2 linked regions of the Lepisosteus oculatus genome follow. The protein of the gene in region 2 purifies or fractionates together with the protein of the main gene of each other region. This does not show direct contact. Links are inferred from orthologs where the notes say so. Each region holds a gene or a part of one and is shown on either strand. Other genes may lie near its edges.

The links. Proteins that work in one complex are often made in the same cells at the same time.
Region 1: the proteins of caM kinase-like vesicle-associated protein (region 2) and acin1b purify together in Homo sapiens (affinity purification with mass spectrometry; 3 studies listed by BioGRID and IntAct, counting the BioPlex papers as one, with this or other methods). This does not show direct contact. The link is inferred for Lepisosteus oculatus from reciprocal best matches to the Homo sapiens genes CAMKV and ACIN1.

The regions. Positions count from the first base shown.
Region 1 is NC_090699.1:13,178,769-13,188,768, forward strand, and holds the start of acin1b (apoptotic chromatin condensation inducer 1b), read right to left. Parts: upstream 3,887-10,000; 5' UTR 3,793-3,886; coding exon 3,655-3,792; intron 489-3,654; exon of another isoform or gene 377-488; intron 1-376.
Region 2 is NC_090699.1:54,174,820-54,184,543, forward strand, and holds the start of caM kinase-like vesicle-associated protein, read right to left. Parts: upstream 4,084-9,724; 5' UTR 3,726-4,083; intron 918-3,725; 5' UTR 795-917; intron 1-794. Other genes in the region: uncharacterized protein, read right to left, coding at 6,828-8,024. UniProt on the Homo sapiens protein: Does not appear to have detectable kinase activity.

The sequences.
Region 1 (10,000 bases), about 41 Mb from region 2:
GCACTATACTGAAGACTGCAGCCTAGACACTACAGCCCCTTGGTGTTCAGGATACACACTGCTAATCATACAGTCCAGTCCAGCCTGGAGAGTCTCACACTGCTCTGTCAGTGTCAGTGGAGTCTGATTATAATCTCAGTGAATCACTAATCAAGATCACAGTCCAGTCAGTCCAGTCCAGCCTGGAGAGTCTCACACTGCTCTGTCAGTGTCAGTGGAGTCTGATTATAATCTCAGTTAATCTCTAATCAAGATCACAGTCCAGTCAGTCCATCCTCAGACTCAGGGATAATCTGAAAGTCAAGGTAACAGGCTGGTCTCAGTCAGGAAGCCCAGGAGAGAGAAATTAACAGAGGCTGGCAGGCTGGCCCAGTGATCTCCTCAGAGCACACAGACAATGTGAGAAGGAGAGTTTAACTCACCTACACCCAGACAGACACACAGCCAGCCTGGTGTATCAGTATTAGCATGGTAACTCATCACTGGAGCAGCAGGCCAGGACACCAGTTCTACCAGAGCCCCCTCTCATCCTCTCACAGCTCACATCGATACCACTAATGTCAGTCAGACACTGGCTCAGACAGCTGTCAGTGTCAATGAGTCTGATTATAATCTCAGTGAATCACTAATCAAGATCACAGTCCAGTCAGTCCAGTCCAGTCTGGAGTGTCTCACACTGCTCTGTCAGTGGAGTCTGATTATAATCTCAGTTAATCACTATTCAAAACAATGCAACTAATTAGAGCAGAATCAAACACAGCACACTACAGTAAGCAAATACCATGCATTAACAAGGAATACATCAGAGGTGTCCCCTGATCAAAGGTCAATAAAGGATGGATAAGCAACACCCCTACTCTTACTGACAGTGTCCTGGGATCTGTACTGACCAGCAGTCAGGACACCCCTACTCTTACTGACAGTGTCCTGGGATCTGGACTGACCAGCAGTCAGGACACCCCTACTCTTACTGACAGAGTCCTGGGATCTGAACTGACCAGTCAGGACACCCCTACTCTTACTGACAGTGTCCTGGGATCTGGACTGACCAGCAGTCAGGACACCCCTACTCTTACTGACAGTGTCCTGGGATCTGGACTGACCAGCAGTCAGGACACCCCTACTCTTACTGACAGTGTCCTGGGATCTGTACTGACCAGCAGTCAGGACACCCCTACTCTTACTGACAGTGTCCTGGGATCTGGACTGACCAGTCAGGACACCCCTACTCTTACTGACAGTGTCCTGGGATCTGAACTGACCAGTCAGGACACCCCTACTCTTACTGACAGTGTCCTGGGATCTGAACTGACCAGTCAGGACACCCCTACTCTTACTGACAGTGTCCTGGGATCTGGACTGACCAGTCAGGACACCCCTACTCTTACTGACAGTGTCCTGGGGTCTGTACTGACCAGTCAGGACACCCCTACTCTTACTGACAGTGTCCTGGGATCTGTACTGACCAGTCAGGACACCCCTACTCTTACTGACAGTGTCCTGGGATCTGGACTGACCAGTCAGGACACCCCTACTCTTACTGACAGTGTCCTGGGATCTGGACTGACCAGCAGTCAGGACACCCCTAGACTTACCGACAGTGTCCTGGGATCTGTACTGACCAGTCAGGACACCCCTACTCTTACTGACAGTGTCCTGGGATCTGGACTGACCAGCAGTCAGGACACCCCTACTCTTACTGACAGTGTCCTGGGATCTGGACTGACCAGCAGTCAGGACACCCCTACTCTTACTGACAGTGTCCTGGGATCTGTACTGACCAGCAGTCAGGACACCCCTACTCTTACTGACAGTGTCCTGGGATCTGGACTGACCAGTCAGGACACCCCTACTCTTACTGACAGTGTCCTGGGATCTGAACTGACCAGTCAGGACACCCCTACTCTTACTGACAGTGTCCTGGGATCTGAACTGACCAGTCAGGACACCCCTACTCTTACTGACAGTGTCCTGGGATCTGGACTGACCAGTCAGGACACCCCTACTCTTACTGACAGTGTCCTGGGGTCTGTACTGACCAGTCAGGACACCCCTACTCTTACTGACAGTGTCCTGGGATCTGTACTGACCAGTCAGGACACCCCTACTCTTACTGACAGTGTCCTGGGATCTGGACTGACCAGTCAGGACACCCCTACTCTTACTGACAGTGTCCTGGGATCTGGACTGACCAGTCGGGACAGCCCTACTCTTACTGACAGTGTCCTGGGATCTGTACTGACCAGTCAGGACACCCCTACTCTTACTGACAGTGTCCTGGGATCTGGACTGACCAGTCAGGACACCCCTACTCTTACTGACAGTGTCCTGGGATCTGTACTGACCAGTCAGGACACCCCTACTCTTACTGACAGTGTCCTGGGATCTGAACTGACCAGTCAGGACACCCCTACTCTTACTGACAGTGTCCTGGGATCTGGACTGACCAGCAGTCAGGACACCCCTACTCTTACTGACAGTGTCCTGGGATCTGTACTGACCAGTCAGGACACCTCTACTCTTACTGACAGTGTCCTGGGATCTGTACTGACCAGTCAGGACACCCCTACTCTTACTGACAGTGTCCTGGGATCTGGACTGACACTTACTGAGCACGTCCTACACACACAGGGAGGTGAACCAATGACAGCACATGCACAAACACACACAGCATCGCACACAGACAGTGCAGTGCAGTCACAGCTCCCGGCCAGCGAGAGAGAAACTCCACAGTGCAGCAGCAGTCTGATGGCACAGAAAAGCACAACCGGGCTTCTCGGCACACCTGATCGGGGTCCTGGCCAGGGGCGTCAAACTTCAACAACTCAAACACACAGACCCCCCAGCCTGATTTGTCGACACCTCTGAAAATCACAACCTTCGTGTTTTTGCACAGAGCGTCGCGTCTTTAATTGAAACCAATCATCGCGAGTGGCCGACGCGCGCGCTCACGTGGGTAGCGGGGGGATCCCAACAGGCTCGTAATTTCGCAGAGAGGGAGCCCCCCGACGCCCCCCGTCAAGAGCGCCGGGTTTCCAACCAGCGCGACTCCGGCCGCTGGCACTCGCTGACAGCTAATCCCCGGGAACGAGCCTCGTCCACGTCACACCGCCAGAAAAACACAAACTGTAAAAGCGCGCGACATCCCCGCTCCTTCAGTCCTCCGGCCTCAACCCCCCCCCCCCTGCGAGCGCGAGCAAGAGAGCGCGCACGCACCCGGGAGAAACGGCCCCCCTCGCTCGCTCTCCGTGAACGCGCACAGACACACAAAGCGCGGGCTCGTCGACTTCTACTCAGAAAAAAAACTAACCGACACACCGAGCCGCGCCGACTCCCGTAAACACACACACACACTCGCCCCTCGCTCCCTCTCGGCCTCCTCGGCGCGGCTCAACTTTCCAGCCGCCGCTCCGCTCGCAGCCTGCAGGCCCGGCGCCCTCGCCGCGCCCCCGGCCCCCGGGCGCCGGGCCTGGGCCTCCCGCCCGCCCGCGCCCTCGCTCCCTCGCTCCCGCCCGCCCGCCCGGGCCGGGGGGCGGCCGCCGCCGCGGACTCCAACCCGAGGGCTCGCTTCTTCGTGCTCCGGGAGCCTGCTGCCGCCCCCCCCTGCCGCCCCAGTCCCGTCCGAGCCCCCCGCGGAACCGCGGCCAAACTCACCCCTTTGAGCCGCTTGATGAGCGCGTTCTTCTGCCCGCTCTTGGGGAGGCCTCGCTGCTCCAGGGCGGCCTTCAGGTCCGCCACCCGGAGCGAGTGAAGCGGCTTCCCATCCAACGTAACGTCTTCGAGCTCCGCCATCTTTGCTTTTCCCCCCTCGCTCTTGCGCTCGCTCGCTCTCTCTCTCCCCGGCTCGGCCGCTGCAACGCCTTCCCCCCCGCTGACGTCAGAGCTCGGCTTTCTCCGGAGCCGGAGAGGCCCGAAGAGCAGGAGCGGGAGGGGGATCGAACGCGAGGCTCAGTCGTCGGTAATCTCCGGAGAGAGCAGGCCGAGGCAACTTCGGCAATCTCCGGAGGGGGGCCGGCCGAGGCTACTTCGGCAATCTCCGGACAGCACTCGTCAGCTACCCCTGCAGCTCACAGGAGTTCGAAGGTCGAGGCGTCGTCGGTCATCTGCGGACAAATGATTCGTCATTACTGACTCAAAAACAACTTGCACGTTGTTATATACAGAAAGTCGGGGAAGACACCCGTGTCTGAGCAGTTTGAAATAGACGTCAGGGCGAATCTGCAGAGTATTTTTAAAAGTGAGAACATGAAAGCCGCGCTGGCCTTTATCTTGATTTATTTCCCTTGTGTAATCGATTTTCGGTCAAGTTCAGGTCTGTTGCAGTAGGTGCCCCTGGCGATGGTGTTGTAGGGCCTATGGGTTCGTGCAGGACAGAGGACGAGCAGAGACGAGACAGGGGAACAAGCACCAGCCTATATCCCCCTGTACAACAACACCACCCACAGCGCTTACACACGCATTAGGGGACACGGACACAGGTGCAGGGTGGTAACTCGCTAAAAAAGGCTCCAGAGGAACCCGCCCGACACCCGAAAAAGCTCCGCAGCCGAAACGTTGTGTTTCTTGTCTCCTCTTTCCAGCAGGGAGTAAACCTGTACTTGTTCAGTGGAAACAGAGCTCCCGGGAGAGAGGAGAGAGGAGGAGAGAGAGGAGGGGGGAGAGAGGGGAGAGAGGGGAGAGGACAGTGTCCTCCTGTCCTGTGCTGGAGTGGACAGCAGGGTCAGGGGACAGTGTTCTCCTGTCCTGTGCTGGAGTGGACAGTAGGATCAGGGGACAGTGTCCTCCTGTCCTGTGCTGGAGTGGACAGCAGGGTCAGGGGACAGTGTCCTGTCCTGTGCTGGGGTGGACAGCAGGGCCAGGGGTCAGTGTCCTCCTGTTGTGTGCTGGAGTGGACAGCAGAGTCAGAGGACAGAGTTTTCCTGTCCTGTGCTGGTGTGGACAGCAGGGTCAGGGGATAGTGTCCTCCTGTTGTGTGCTGGAGTGGACAGCAGGGTCAGGGGACAGAGTTCTCCTGTCTTGTGCTTGGGTGGACAGCAGGGTCAGGGAAAAGTGTCCTCCTGTCCTGTGCTGGAGTGGACAGCAGGGTCAGGGGACAGTGTCCACCAGGTGCTCCCAGCAGGACTCTCTGGGAGTCTCAGGACAAAGCCAGTCTTTACAGCATCACCCACACAGAGCCCAGGCCAGCGCTGGGCCCTGAGGTCAGAGAGAGGGTGAGACTGCAGAGGGGTGTTACTGTCCCTCCCGGAGACACAGAGGCATCTCTCCCAGCGGAGGGGCAGAGACACTGTCTCTGCTGGGCTTGACCTGAAGCTTGAGGGTGACCTGAAGCCAGGGAGACAGCTAAATATTTACCATGATAATAAAAAAATAAAATGAGGTTCTATGTTATTATTCTTCAAAGAAGAAATTACGACAATTAAGGGCATAAATATACAGACATTGTGATATAACAATACAAAAACATCATACAAGTCAGCAGAACAGGACATCAGCCACAACACTACCAACCTGATTAACATTACAAGAGGGGTCACATCGTTGAACTAGTTTATATGACACAAGACGTGTGTAGGACTGTTTCAGGATGTTTTTGAAGAATCTGAGTACAGTCTGAATGAATGGATGGATTCTTGTATTACAGATTACATTAAACACAGACGAATCTGTATGCCAGGTGGCCATTGTCTGGTGACATGAATAACAACAGCAGCCGTACCCCCCTGCAGCTCACACACAGCCCACTGGGGCTCAGGGTGAGCCTGGCCAGTACCTGGGAGAGGTGTTAGTGGGGCCAGCAGGGGGCGCTCACCCTGCGGTCTCTGGGGGTCCTAATGCCCCAGGACAGTGACGGGGACACTAGATACTTTATTGATCCCGTGAGGGAAACTGCACTCCAACAGCAGCTTAACACAGACAACACAGCAACAGTGTAACGAATGATACAATAATAATAATAATAATAATAATACAATACATACTATACAATCAGTACAGTGAGAAGTGCACTAAAAGAGTACCTCACAGTCCAGGACACACAAAGAACAAACTGGAACAGAAAGATCGTATTGCACATATGAATCTAAATATAGATGTAAATATAAATATAAATGTATTGCACGGGTCCATGGCATATATTGCACAAAAAAACGGTTGTGAACGGGAAAAGAATCCTGGGAAAATGAGGGGATCCCCAGTACCTGTAAAGCTCTTTGACTGGAGTGTCCAGAAAAGCTCTATATAAGTGTAATTATTATTATTATTATTATTTACAGCCGTATCCCCCTACTGCTCACTGACAGCCCACTGGAGCTCAGCAGTGTGAGCCTGGCCAGTACCTGGGTGGGAGACCCAGTGGGGCCAGTAGGGGGTGCTCACCCTGCAGTCTGTGGGGGTCCTAATGCCCCAGGACAGTGACGGGGACACTAGACTGTAAACAAGGCGCCGTCCTTCAGATGAGACGTAAAACTGAGGTCCTGCCTCTGTGGTCAGTCAAGACCCCAGGGTGTCTCTCAGAAAGAGTAGGGGTGTGACCCCAGTGTCCTGGACAGACTCCCCCTGGTCTTTACCAGTCATGGCCTCCTGATCACCCCCCTCTCTGAACTGGCCTCATCACTCTGCTCTCCTCCCCACTGAGAGCTGGAGTGTGTGAGCGGACTGGGGGGGTGGAGGGGGTCCCCAGTACTGGACAGCGCCGGGGGAGGGGTGGAGGGTCCAGAAAGGCGCTATAGAGGTGTCAGGAATTCCTTCTGAGCGTCTTCAATATCAGACCCTCAGGGGCTCCAGTCCCAGCGGCTTGCAGGAATGCCCTGGGGGGGACATGGCAGGAAGAGTCGGAAAGGCTTTCCTCCGGGCCGGAAGAGTAACCTTCACAGGTCTCGGGCCGACAGGGTCCGATCACCGCTCTCACGAGGAGGAGGAGGAGGAGGGTGCTCTCGGCCAGCGGGGCCAGGTACGGGTGCTCGTATGCCCCAGGGCACTTTCACTCTGAGACGTGCAAAAAGAGGGGTGAACACCCCCCCCCCCGATCCTCAACACAGGGCTGAGCACACGGCTGTGCTCTCAACTCACAGATCTCTTTAGTGTCCCTGTACAATCAAGATCAGATCTCTTTCCTGTCCCTGTACAATCAAGATCAGATCTCTTTACTGTCCCTGTACAATCAAGATCAGATCTCTTTCCTGTCCCTGTACGATCAAGATCAGATCTCTTTCCTGTCCCTGTACAATCAAGATCAGATCTCTTTACTGGCCCTGTACAATCAAGATCAGATCTCTTTAGTGTCCCTGTACAATCAAGATCAGGTCTCTTTACTGTCCCTGTACAATCAAGATCAGATCTCTTTACTGTCTCTGTACGATCAAGATCAGATCTCTTTAGTGTCCCTGTACAATCAAGATCAGATCTCTTTCCTGTCCCTGTACAATCAAGATCAGATCTCTTTAGTGTCCCTGTACAATCAAGATCAGATCTCTTTAGTGTCCCTGTACAATCAAGATCAGATCTCTTTACTGTCCCTATACAATCAAGATCAGATCTCTTTACTGTCCCTGTACAATCAAGATCAGATCTCTTTACTGTCTCTGTACGATCAAGATCAGATCTCTTTAGTGTCCCTGTACAATCAAGATCAGATCTCTTTCCTGTCCCTTTACAATCAAGATCAGATCTCTTTCCTGTCCCTGTACAATCAAGATCAGATCTCTTTAGTGTCTTTGTACAATCAAGATCAGATCTCTTTACTGGCCCTGTACAATCAAGATCAGATCTCTTTCCTGTCTCTGTACAGTCTCTTTCATCAGGAATGTGTCTTTTCACAGACCCCAGCTTGCTCTCCAGGAGACACACAGACAGGGAGAGAAGCTGGGGGTCAGAGCGCAGGGTCGGCCATTTATACAGCACCCCTGGAGCAGCTGGGGTTCAGGGCCTCGCTCAGGGGCCCAGCGGAGTGAGGAATAGGATTTCTCTGCCAGCCCCGGGATTCGAACCGGCAACCTCCCAGCCACAGGCACAGCTCCTGAGCCCCAGAGGAGGCCAAACACCCCAATCAGCGATCAGCCGCTCATTAATTCAGAGATCTGAATGAATTCAAGACCATTCAGAGAGCTACATACGACTACAGAGTAAAATCAGAGTCATATTATCACGGCGCAGATCCTGAGCCCCAGAGCCAGCGCACTCCGGGGTGGTGCAGTGGAGCCCCAGGACAGGACAGAAAGGCCGTACAGGGGGTTCTGAGGTCCGCGCAGAAAATCACCGGGCCCGAGCCGCCCTCCGTCGAGCGGATAGATCTCCCCCGCTGGCACAGCCGGGCTCGGGCTGCGCTCCGGGACCCAAGGGCTGGGGTGGGTTTGGGAAGCTGTTCTGGACGGACTTGCAGTGTTTTGTGTGCAGGCAGTTAAAGGTGTTTTTAGATTGAGGGATTTTGATATTTGATTGTGCTGTTTAATAAGCATTTATTTATAGTACATTTATCATAGTCATTCTGGGTAAATGTCACATTCATCAAGCAAAATGGTCCAATAACACTCCCCCTTTCAGTACTTTTGAGGTGGAGTTGAAACGAAATTCTATTAAAAAAACTGAGAAATGCTACAGCAAGGAAAACGTTTGATATCTGTCCAAAAATCATCCGAACACATCATTGACTTCATTACCTCTGGCGGTTAACTGTTTTTTTTTCTGTTTGTGTTTTTTTCTCTTGTGCCTGTCTGTTTCCGATCCTCTGGTTGTGTCTGTAAAATTCTTTATACGTTTAATAATAAAAAAAGAGCAGAGCTCTCTTCTCAAGCGGTTTGTGCTGCGTCTGCAGATCCGCGTCGGAATTAAACCGCTACTGGCGCAAACTTTTACCAACGCTAGGTGGCGCTGTCGGCACGTCTCTCCTGCGACATCAGCAGGGGGATCGACTCTGTAGCTGGTGATGATGACAACAGCGGCAGCGATGATTATTATTATTATTATTTCGGCTACTAAAACACTGCTCTGGCCTGTCTACACAACAGAACACAAATCCGGTCGTGATCCGGAAACAGAGAAGCTCCTGCGCGTCCACAGCGCGAGTTGACGGAAAGACCCGAGCGGAAGGGATCGCCCCTCGGCTCTTTCCGGTCGCTCTCGTCGAGACCAGCCCTTTCCGGTTTCCGTTTAAAACCGGAAGCTGTGGTGTTTTCCTTCCTTCACAGACGGGCGAGTAACAACAATAACAACACACACACCACAGACCCAGGCAAACTCCGAGAGTTGTGTACCGACAGCGGCGGCAAGGAAAGGCCCAGGGACCGAACCGGGGGTGTCTGTGTAACCGTGGTGCCTGAAGAATATCGGGAGGACATGGACTGAGACGTAAATAAACACGCGTGATCGCGGTTCACATTTCGGGAACAGGAGGCAAAGAGACATTTCTTTATTCCTTTACGGTGCTACGGTAAGAGCACTTCTCACGCCCTGTCAATTATTATTAGTAATGTTATTATTGAGGGCTTCTCTGTGATCTCCTCTCTCTCACTGTGTCTCCTGTCCTGTTGTGTGTTTATTACTGAGGGCTTCTCTACGATCTCCTATCTCTCACTCACTGTGTCTCCTGTCCTGTTGTGTGTGTGTATTACCGAGGGATTCTCTGTGATCTCCTCTCTCTCTCACTGTGTCTCCTGTCCTGTTGTGTGTGTGTATTACTGAGGGATTCTCTGTGATCTCCTCTCTCTCTCACTGTGTCTCCTGTCCTGTTGTGTGTGTGTATTACTGAGGGATTCTCTGTGATCTCCTCTCTCTCACTGTGTCTCCTGTCCTGTTGTGTGTGTGTATTACTGAGGGACTCTCTGTGATCTCCTCTCTCTCTCACTGTGTCTCCTGTCCTGTTGTGTGTGTATTACTGAGGGCTTCTCTGTGATCTTCTCTCTCTCTCACTGTGTCTCCTGTCCTGTTGTGTGTGTATTACTGAGGGCTTCTCTGTGATCTCCTCTCTCTCACTGTGTCTCCTGTCCTGTTGTGTGTGTATTACTGA
Region 2 (9,724 bases):
AAATAAATGTACTTATTTCAATGGTTTGCTTGTAGGTCGAATTAAATCCATTTGTGATCTTAAAAATTCCAATTTAAAACATAACAAACATTTTTAAACAGTTCATATCTGAATGAAACTAATTTATTCGGTCATATTGTTGCAAAATATTGAGTGCTCGTTTTAACTTTTGTAGTTACGCTTTATCAAACAGGTTCAACCACAACTTAAAGAAAATTCTTTCTCTGTTATCTAAGGTACAGTATACACTCTACCTGTAATCTCTTTGTGACTGCCTCTCCATGCCACTGCCAATCAGTGCTGTTCCTGAATTCATATGGATGCTACTTTTTGTCAGTTTCATTAAGACCAAGGCTTTTGTGTCTGAATGCTTCATGAAGTTTGTTGAGAAGTCAAGCCAAATCAAGTTAGCCAAGTCAAGAACATGTCAGCTTGCAGAACAGGAAAAGACTGTCAATGTCAATACAAAATAAATCAATATGTATTTTTTCCCCTTAGTTTTAACTTTGGCCAAAAAGGTCTTCAATCCACCCCAAGACCAAAAGGGTCTTCACCCCATCCTACATCCACAATGAAATGATTGAGCTCTTTTGGGTCAAATCTTCCACCTTTTTTCAATGACACTACTTGAACGCTGCGGCAAGGTGCTGTAGTTTTATTCCGAGTTTAATGTATGAAATGGACAAGTATTTAAGCAGTGTCTCTGCCAGTTCTTTCCTATAAATGCATGGGGTAAAGCAGCACGAATGCAATGGCAATATTCCAACCTTTGGACAATTCAAAACACAACTCACTCAGGTACTGTCAACTGAAAACCTCAAATGCCAAAGAACCCGAGACAGCCGCTGTTGGTTTACTTTCAGTTTTGCCACATGGGGGCGACTCAGATGTTGAGTGGCAGTGAGATGGATAAGCAACTGCAAGGAATAATATAGACGTTCAGCAGCAAATATACACATGTCTAGCAATGACAACAATAAGACAACAATAGCAGTTCTGAAGAGATATCATAGAGAAAGGTACAAGACGTGACAAGAGTGTTCAGGAAAATGTCTAACAAAAAGTGTTTTATGGTATGTTTATGCTAGAGTTCATGGTGTTCGAATTAAATATAGATATCGGTTAGTTTGAGACATGCACATGTCTGTGTTTAAGTGTCTGCTGCAAATTTCACTTTATCCAAGCGACGGCAGAATCATGAGTCATTGTGCTAATAGTACTGTATTAATCATACTGTAACCCAGCCAGCCTGCTTTAATGCAATTTTGAACTTTAAAGAACAAAGTGATCTTGATTATTACACTAAAACATGGAAATCTGACATTTTAATATGAGGTGTTGACCAAAATAATTAACATGAGCGACACAATGATTTGTCTGAGAATAAGAAATATATCTCATGGATGTCTATATAGATCAGAAATCATTCCCAGGCTCAATAAATCAGAAAGTAATGCCATTTAAAGGCTTTCAGAAAGATTTATTTTTTAAAAATAAAGTCCCCTTTTCTTTCACAACCTACTTCAAATTTGAATAAAACAGTTTACAAAGGTATTTTTATAAAACACTCACATTATATATATATTAATTTAACTTATAAATTATTACTTACTGTCTATATTATATGTAAGCTTACTTACAGTACTGTATACAGTATACAGTATATAACTTTATATGTTTTCGTTATATAATGAAGTGGAAACACTTCTGGTAAAAATCAATGTGTGAAAGCTATGAACACTAATAACACTGGAGTAACTTGAATATTTTCAAACCACTCCTAAGGAATTTCTGCCTAACTATTATATGAATATGCCAAATACATTAATTATATAAGGTAATACAATCACAAAAGGTTAGATTTACAGTATAACATTATACACAAGTACATTCTATACAAATTTATACAACATTCTATACAAGGTGAAACTGAGCTTAAAATAAAATTCACACACAAATCTAGGTGAAATACAGGGGAATATAAAAAACTAGATGAAATCCATTTTTATTTGTAAACTCAAATACAATTATTATGGTCAAGTTTCTAAATGGTACACACTTGCTGCTGAAAAAATGATTTGCATTAAAAAACTAAATATTATTTTTTCAAACTAAAACTATAGAAAAAACAATAGCATAAAACAAAAAGTAGATTTCGATTTTTAAATACTGAGTTAATATAATTTCATAACATCTTTTGCAATGACTTATGAGTCTGAGTAAAAGTATACTAGTTACAGTATTTTAGAAAAACAAGCAAATAAATAGTTAACTGCTGTACACTGCAGGCATCGGAGAGTTGCGTATCTCAGCCGACTGCATTACAGTACACCAAAATTAAACGCTATTTATTCGCTGTTGTATGACACAGTTCCAAGCCTTAATTTGACAAAAAAACTACTTAAATCTTTCTGATTTAAGATTACGGTTGGGGTTATTTGTGTCATTGTACATTTCATTTGTTTACAACCAATTTGTTGCACGTTGCCCACTTTCTTAATTATGGTCACTGTAAAAACTATTACTGTATTGTATACATTTCCCGTTTTCAGTTTACCAGGATCTAACGTTTTTTTTTCCTTTGCGCAATTCAGCGTAACTCAATGCAAGTACAAATTTAAACGATTTGAATTTAAGTAATCGTAATACGGTGCTCCGCGCAGCTAAGACAGGTTCAGGTCATTTATTTCTTTCCTTTGACTTGGTACTGTATCTTAGCGATGCACTGAAACTCAATTCAAGAAGAGCTATCAGTTTTAGTAGTACTCTGACTTTTGACAGTAAACTGACTTGGTGAACTAGCGTGCTCCTTTATTCAGAGCGTATTAACAAGAGTCGACAAGTTGGGGTTAGAGTATTTTATTTAAGACCCCTAACAACTATATACAATAAATATGCATAGTAGGTTTTTAATGCAGTGGGTGGACCACACCACAGCTTCACTGTCTGTACAATTCATTACTTTGAATTAAGAGCGTAAAGAAAGCAGTTTTTACAGCGCTTTTCTCTCTGTAGGCTACAGTACATCCTGAGAAAGAATTCAAAATCTAAATTAACATTTCAAAAAGCAGGTCAACTATCTGGTAATGTTGCAATCATCAACTGACTAACATCAAAATAAGGAGCACAATTAAAGTTTTATGGGTGATGAGACTATTTTTGTGACTTAATTGTACCTTTTTCCATTATTGCGAACATGTTAAGTATCTAAAGACCCCCCCAGAAAAGAAAGCACATGCATAAATGGCTGCTATATGCACTCGTTTTACGTTATGTAAGTTGATGCCATCATCCTTTTTATCCTCTTCTTCACACATTACATACAGTACAGCAGTACTTCAAAGCACGAAGTGTATGCTTCGCATTGAAGTCGAACACAGAGCAAATGCAACATAACAAGTGGGCTAACTTGTGAGGAAAAAAAAGATAACTTCTAAAATAACGCTTCTTAAATTGGCTTACTAACTCAAGATCATTACAGATTTTGTTTTAAAAATAGCAAAGCGTATTTATTTACACTTAAGTTACAGACCATAAACAGGACTGCAAACAATAAATAATGCATTTGATTTTTTTTAAAGAATCCGCTCAATCAACCCTGTGCATAAAAGAAAGTCTTTGTCTTAGGCAATTACCAACCTTTTCCGTTTCACATTCTACTCACATATAAAGTGACAACTGTACAAAACAAACCCCACAACACGTAAGAGCTCCACTGCGCCTACCTAAAATGCCAAGTCCTCGGTAAATTTAGGGTCCACTGTAGTTCCCTGCCTAGTCTTCTTCACAAAAATAAAGATGCTCTGTGCTTTCAGATCAGTCGACTCTTTTCTTGTTTAACGTGTTGAGCTGCTTGCAGGTGTTTCTTTTGCTATAACGAGAGGGGTAAATTCCAGGTCTCCTGTTCCATCCACCGTGCGCTTTCTGGCTAACCGGAGTTGGAGAGGGACTGAATCTCTCAATCGCTACTACGCGTAACAGAAACCGAGCGAGCGAGAGAGAGAGGGAGTTACAGCGAGATAAACTGACAAGCAAACGAGGGGTGTGGCTATTAAATGAACCTCTCTACAAATGATACAGCCTTGAATGAATAATTCTTTCTAGGCCTTCTGTGGTGGAAAAGTTATAGTTATGTGATAGCTGCTGGGTGCACTGTGGCACAAATTAACTTACAGTAGTGGTGACGGGGGTAAGTGCATCCAAGTTTGGGAGTGTGATCACGGAAAAAAATCTTATCAGAGAGCGGAAGAGAAGCAAGCGCAGCGCCTTTTGCCTTCACTGCACTTTCACAATTATACAAATTAACTTCGCAAAAGGTTCCAATTTCCGTCGCAGTTCGCGGTTTTACACCGTTTACGCAGTGCGGATGCTTGAACCCAATATTATCAAGAATCAAGAAGCTGTGCTTTCTTGTATCGCATTGTACAGTATTGTGAATATAGGTACTGTGTGGATGCGTTATACTGTGACTCAGAACAACGGTAGTTTCTTTATCCATCCATTATATACAGTACATCCTCCTCATCCTCCAGCAGCAAGCTGGTGCCCAAACTAGCAGGCTAGCAGACACCACACTAGCAGACTGCACAAGCCTTGACTTTGGATTGGCTGAGACAGGGGGATGACAGAGCACACCCATGGAAAATTTGGGGACACCAACTAACTGACATGGAGAAAAACTGTGAACTGTGAGGCAGCACAAAATAATTTTAAGACAACTGTATATTGAGCACATGAGGGCAGCCCCACTACACAGTAGCTTTGGTGCTCAGTCTCCTTTACTAGCACTAAACGAATTCCTCTGATTGCCCCGGTTCTGGATTTTAAAATCATATTAACATTTCACAGATACTCTGTTCTCCTTGTGCAATTGGTTACAGCTTCAGTACAACAGGTAAAAAAAACAACAACATGAGGGAAGCACGGTGCAATGGTTAGTATTGCTGCCTAAGAGCACTGGGGCCCTGGGTTTAATTCCAGACCTGGGGTGCTATCTGTGTGGGTTTCCTCCAGGTGCTCTGGTTCCCTCCCACAGTCTGAAAACATACTGGTAGGTTAATTGGCTTCTGGGAAAATTGTTCTTAGTTTGTGCGCCGTACTATGGGCGTCCTGTCCAGGATGTACACTGCCCTGTGCCTGTTGCTTGCTGGGGTAGTCTTTAGCTTCCCTGTGACCCTAAATTGGGTGAAGTTGTTAGAAAATGGATGGACGACCTCCTCAGACATGTAAGCAGGGTGTAATACCCAAGTATTGCACATAAAAATAAAACAGGAAAACATGAGCTTAACCTTTTGTCACTCATTTTTTTTACTGGTGTGTTAAACAAGGCCCACCCTTGATTTTCCCTCTGATAACATGGGATAAACCGTGTTTGACCCAGATATACAGAATTAAAATACTATATATCTGTATATATTTCAGTCTTTACTTCTAGAAGGTTCCAGAGGGGGTTAATATTACATGTCCCTGGCAAGATAAATGTTCTGCATTTCCCTTGGAACTCTGTTCATTCCTTGCGGATCTGAAGGATTTTCTTTGTGGCAAAGACCATTGACGAAATGATGACAATCAGGCTACAGTGCAGTGTTGAGCAGAACAGCAATCAGGAAAGCAAACCATTCAAACAAAAAAATACACATCTTGATTAGAGAACATTGAGAGCTAGATACCATGGTGCTCCAAAGGGTTTTTGAATAAAAGAATAAATGGTGGTTATAAATGAACCTTTTCTGTATCTGTGTGGTGTTCGTTTGGAACAACATCAAAGTTTCAGTTTCTAAATCTATGCTGGTCAAGGAGAGGGGAGTAAATCTGGGCCTGTTTATCACTGCCATTTAAAAATTACCAATAAGAAGTACATAGAAAATTCAGGTATTTTCAGAGGGTTAACATATTATGGTCACTTATGTACTGGAAATGTGTTCCTAATACATTTCATTTCTAATACATGTTGTTTTATCTCTCTTCTTGCCATTAGCGTAACTTAATGGAGATGCTTGATGTTCTGGAGCACTTGCCAGTGTACTGCTGTGACTTGATGAAATCCCCTTGGATCCATATGTCCATGTGCATTAGTTTATATGTGTCACAAAAAGTAGCTTGCCAGGGATGTGTGAAGGGTTATTGTGGTAGTCAATAAGCATGCACTGATTTTATTCAAATTCACTGTCTTTTCCTTTTTAGTCCTTAACATAAATATTCTGAAATCATATTAACCTGAGGCATCTACTGTAAATGCATGGATAATGTTTTACCATACGCAATGTTATTCACTGCTATGATGTCACATTGACCTCTTTTTTCATAGTACTGAAACCTGGTATACTGAGCTGCTGAGGACTATTTCGTACCGCTCTGTGTTTCTTTAGAACAGTCATGGTGACCTACTTTTTCGTAGTGTCGGCAGTGGTTATTTATGTTCCTTTTGGGGAGACTTGTGTGTTGCTTCCGTTCTTGTGTTCTTGCACTCTGACTGATTCCTGTTTGTGTGATTTGTCACCCAACCAATATAGCTGAATTCCTTCAGAACTCTCATTTAATGTACATTATGAAGATATCTGAACAACAGAGAAAGAGGTGTCTAAAGCACGGGGAATGAAAATCACACTTTAGATTTCAGCCTTTACAATGAATTTTAGTTAGTCACTGAGTAAGAAATGTTTCTGTGACCCATTTTAAATCTGTATGTTTTTTGTTCAGTACTTGCACAGAAAGGGCAATGTGGAATTTTCTGCACTTTTATTTTATTGCTTACATTTTTTTTTACATTCCCCTTCTGTATTGTTTTGTTTTTTAGGTAGTATCAGCTCCCCCCACCCACTCTCTTTCTAATAACACTTGCTGTGCATTATTGTAGGCCCCCTCTCCATGTACTCTTGTTTCTTCACCCACATGGACTGGAAACTGCTGAGGCAGGTGATAATGGAACCTCCTACCCAGGATGAGAACTGGCGGTGGGGCCCAGACAGCACAGCCACGGGGGAGCCCTGGGGAACGAGCTTCAGCATCTCCATCTTGAGTCTCTCAGAGAAACCAGGGAGCAGCGAAGAACCACCACATGTTGCCACATTCTTCATCATCACTGCCTGGTGCTCGGTAGCACACTTTTTAAGACTGTTCATGGCCATGATGTGCATGCCAGGTTGTGACACACCTACAGTGGATGGGCAGAACAGTATTTCAGGGCAGAGGAACCGCTGGCTGCCCAGAGTAATGGTGTTTCCATCTGGAAGCAGGTAATCCATCAGGTAACCTTGCTCTTCTGACCTCAACTCTTCGCCTAAGTCCTCTGACACATAGCAGCATTTCTCCTTCATATCCTGCACTATGGATATTTCCTTTGAGCTGAAACAATGTCCTGCCTCTGCCGCCAGCTTGCTTAGGTGTTCATTTAAGGCCTGACCAGCCAGATCGAGACGGGAGGTGGCATGGGGCAGACAGTACCCATTATAGACAGGGGAGACATAAGTGCAACCAGATCCAGAATCCACAACCAAACCTGTGAGTCGTCCATAGGAGTAGATGGACAGCACAGACTGGGGAGCTAAGTAAATGGCTGGTACCTCAAATCCTTCGAACAGAACTTCTGCAGTCTTCTCCCGGTTGGTGGAAGGAGTGTAAGGAGGGTCTGTCACTAAGATTCCATGTTCCTCAGGGCAGACTTGCAGCTCATGGTAGAACACATGGTGCCACAACTTTTCTAAGGCATCCCAGTCGGTCACAATACCATGGGTGATAGGCTTTTTCATCACTAAATCCTTTCTGGGTATGTTGTGTCCAATGTAGTAATCCAGTTCTTCGCTCTTTTTTGTATTCCATCTGCTTCCTATAAACATACCAGTAGAGGACTTGATCATGGTTTGGGGTCTCTCATCCCCAGAGAATCCAGCTTTAGTGTAGCCAGATCCAGAGTCAAGTACAATAGCTACGGTCTGTTTGAAATCATCACCTCTGTCTTCAGAAACTACAGCTGACTCAGAAGAAGCTGTTGTATGTTGATTGGTGGCTGGAGTTCTCGCAGACATTAGGCCTCTTGTTCAGGCTACTTTCACCTTTTTGTCCTTTATGTATTTATTTTAATGAATTTCTTCTGCTGTGCAAAGACAACAGTGGGGTTTTGAAGGATACTACAGTATCTCTTGGTAGCTGTGACAACCAACCACATCATAATGGCCCACTAGCTAATACAAAGGGTACCGGCAAAGGTGGGGTATCCTTTGTTGCCTGTGATGTCACAAGTAAAACTAATGATGCAATTCTTTTCAAAAACATTCCAAAGTACGAAGGCAAAAAAAGAGCATGCTCTAAAATAAACAGGAATTTTGATTTAAATATTAGTGAGTGAGTGTAGTTACATCACAGCTCAAACGGGAAATGTATACAATACAGTAATAGTTTTTACAGTGACTATAATCCCCAAAGTCATAAAATGCTGAATCAAATGTATAATTATTTCAGAGTATGTAATTATAGCTTTGTTTAATATTACTTTGAAACATGATACTTCAGTGGTCAAATATCACCCAAAATAATTGGTTATATCTTAACATTTATATAACACTACAATGAAGCTACAATTAAAATTGTGTATTAGCATTTTATTTGGAATTTCCTTTTTGAAATAATGAGAAGATCTCATTTTCCGTGAATATAAAAAATACAAATCAACAGCTATAGAAGTAATAGAAAAAAAAACTAGAACTGTATACTGGGTAATAAGGATTTAAATAGTTGACAGAGATGTGGGGAACTACCAACACCTTGTGTGATCACCTGCTGAAGTGCTAAGTAATGAAACTCTCAAAGAGACAAGGATGTTCTCACACGCTTGTTATTCTGGGTTTCACTGTTATTAACACTTTACTTTTAGCCTGCTCTGCAAAAAGAGTCCAGTGATTTTCCAAAGAAATCCTGAGAGAAAGTTCCTAGGATAGAAAATTCTAACCACAGCTTCAATTGGCTGAATATCCTGTGATGAGGACTAAATGTAACTTTATTTGTATGAACAAATACTGATCCCAGCATTGACTATTACCAGGGTGCATGTGCACAACACTTTTGCCTTTTTAAGATGATATTCCTGACTGATTCTTGTGCCACGCTTTTAATTGAACTGGCAATGGTTTACTTTACTCGGGCGGACCTGTGATGATGTGGTCAGCATTGTTCCCTTGTTCCCTGGGGCTCTGAGATCAGTTCCTGGGGTGCCATCCACTCAGTGTTTACTGTATATGTTCTTCCTGTGCTCGCTTGGGTTTCCTCTGGTTACTCTGGTTTCCTTCCACAGTCCAAACATACTGGTAGGTAACTTAGCGTCTGTGAAATTGGCCCTGGTGTAAGTGTGTGTTTGTGTCTGTGTGTGCCCTGTGACAGACCAGTGACTTGTCCAGGGTGTACAAGACTGTCTTGTGCCTGTCACTTGCCAGGATAGACTCTGGCTCCCCAGTCACCCTGCACTGGATAAAGAGGCTTTGAAAATGGATGGATCGTTCACTATTGTCTATATTTTGTTTCACCATGGTATTATTGTCATATAATCCATCCATCCAGGGTATCAGCACCACTGCATTTCTGCACAGCTCTGGCCATATAATTCATTCTGTAACCAGGTGATTAACAAAATGTAAATAACTTAGTAGTCAATTATCCATCTTCATGCTTAATAACACATTTATTAACAGTTCTCTGATTGTTTGAACAGACTCGACAAATATTTTGTTAATTT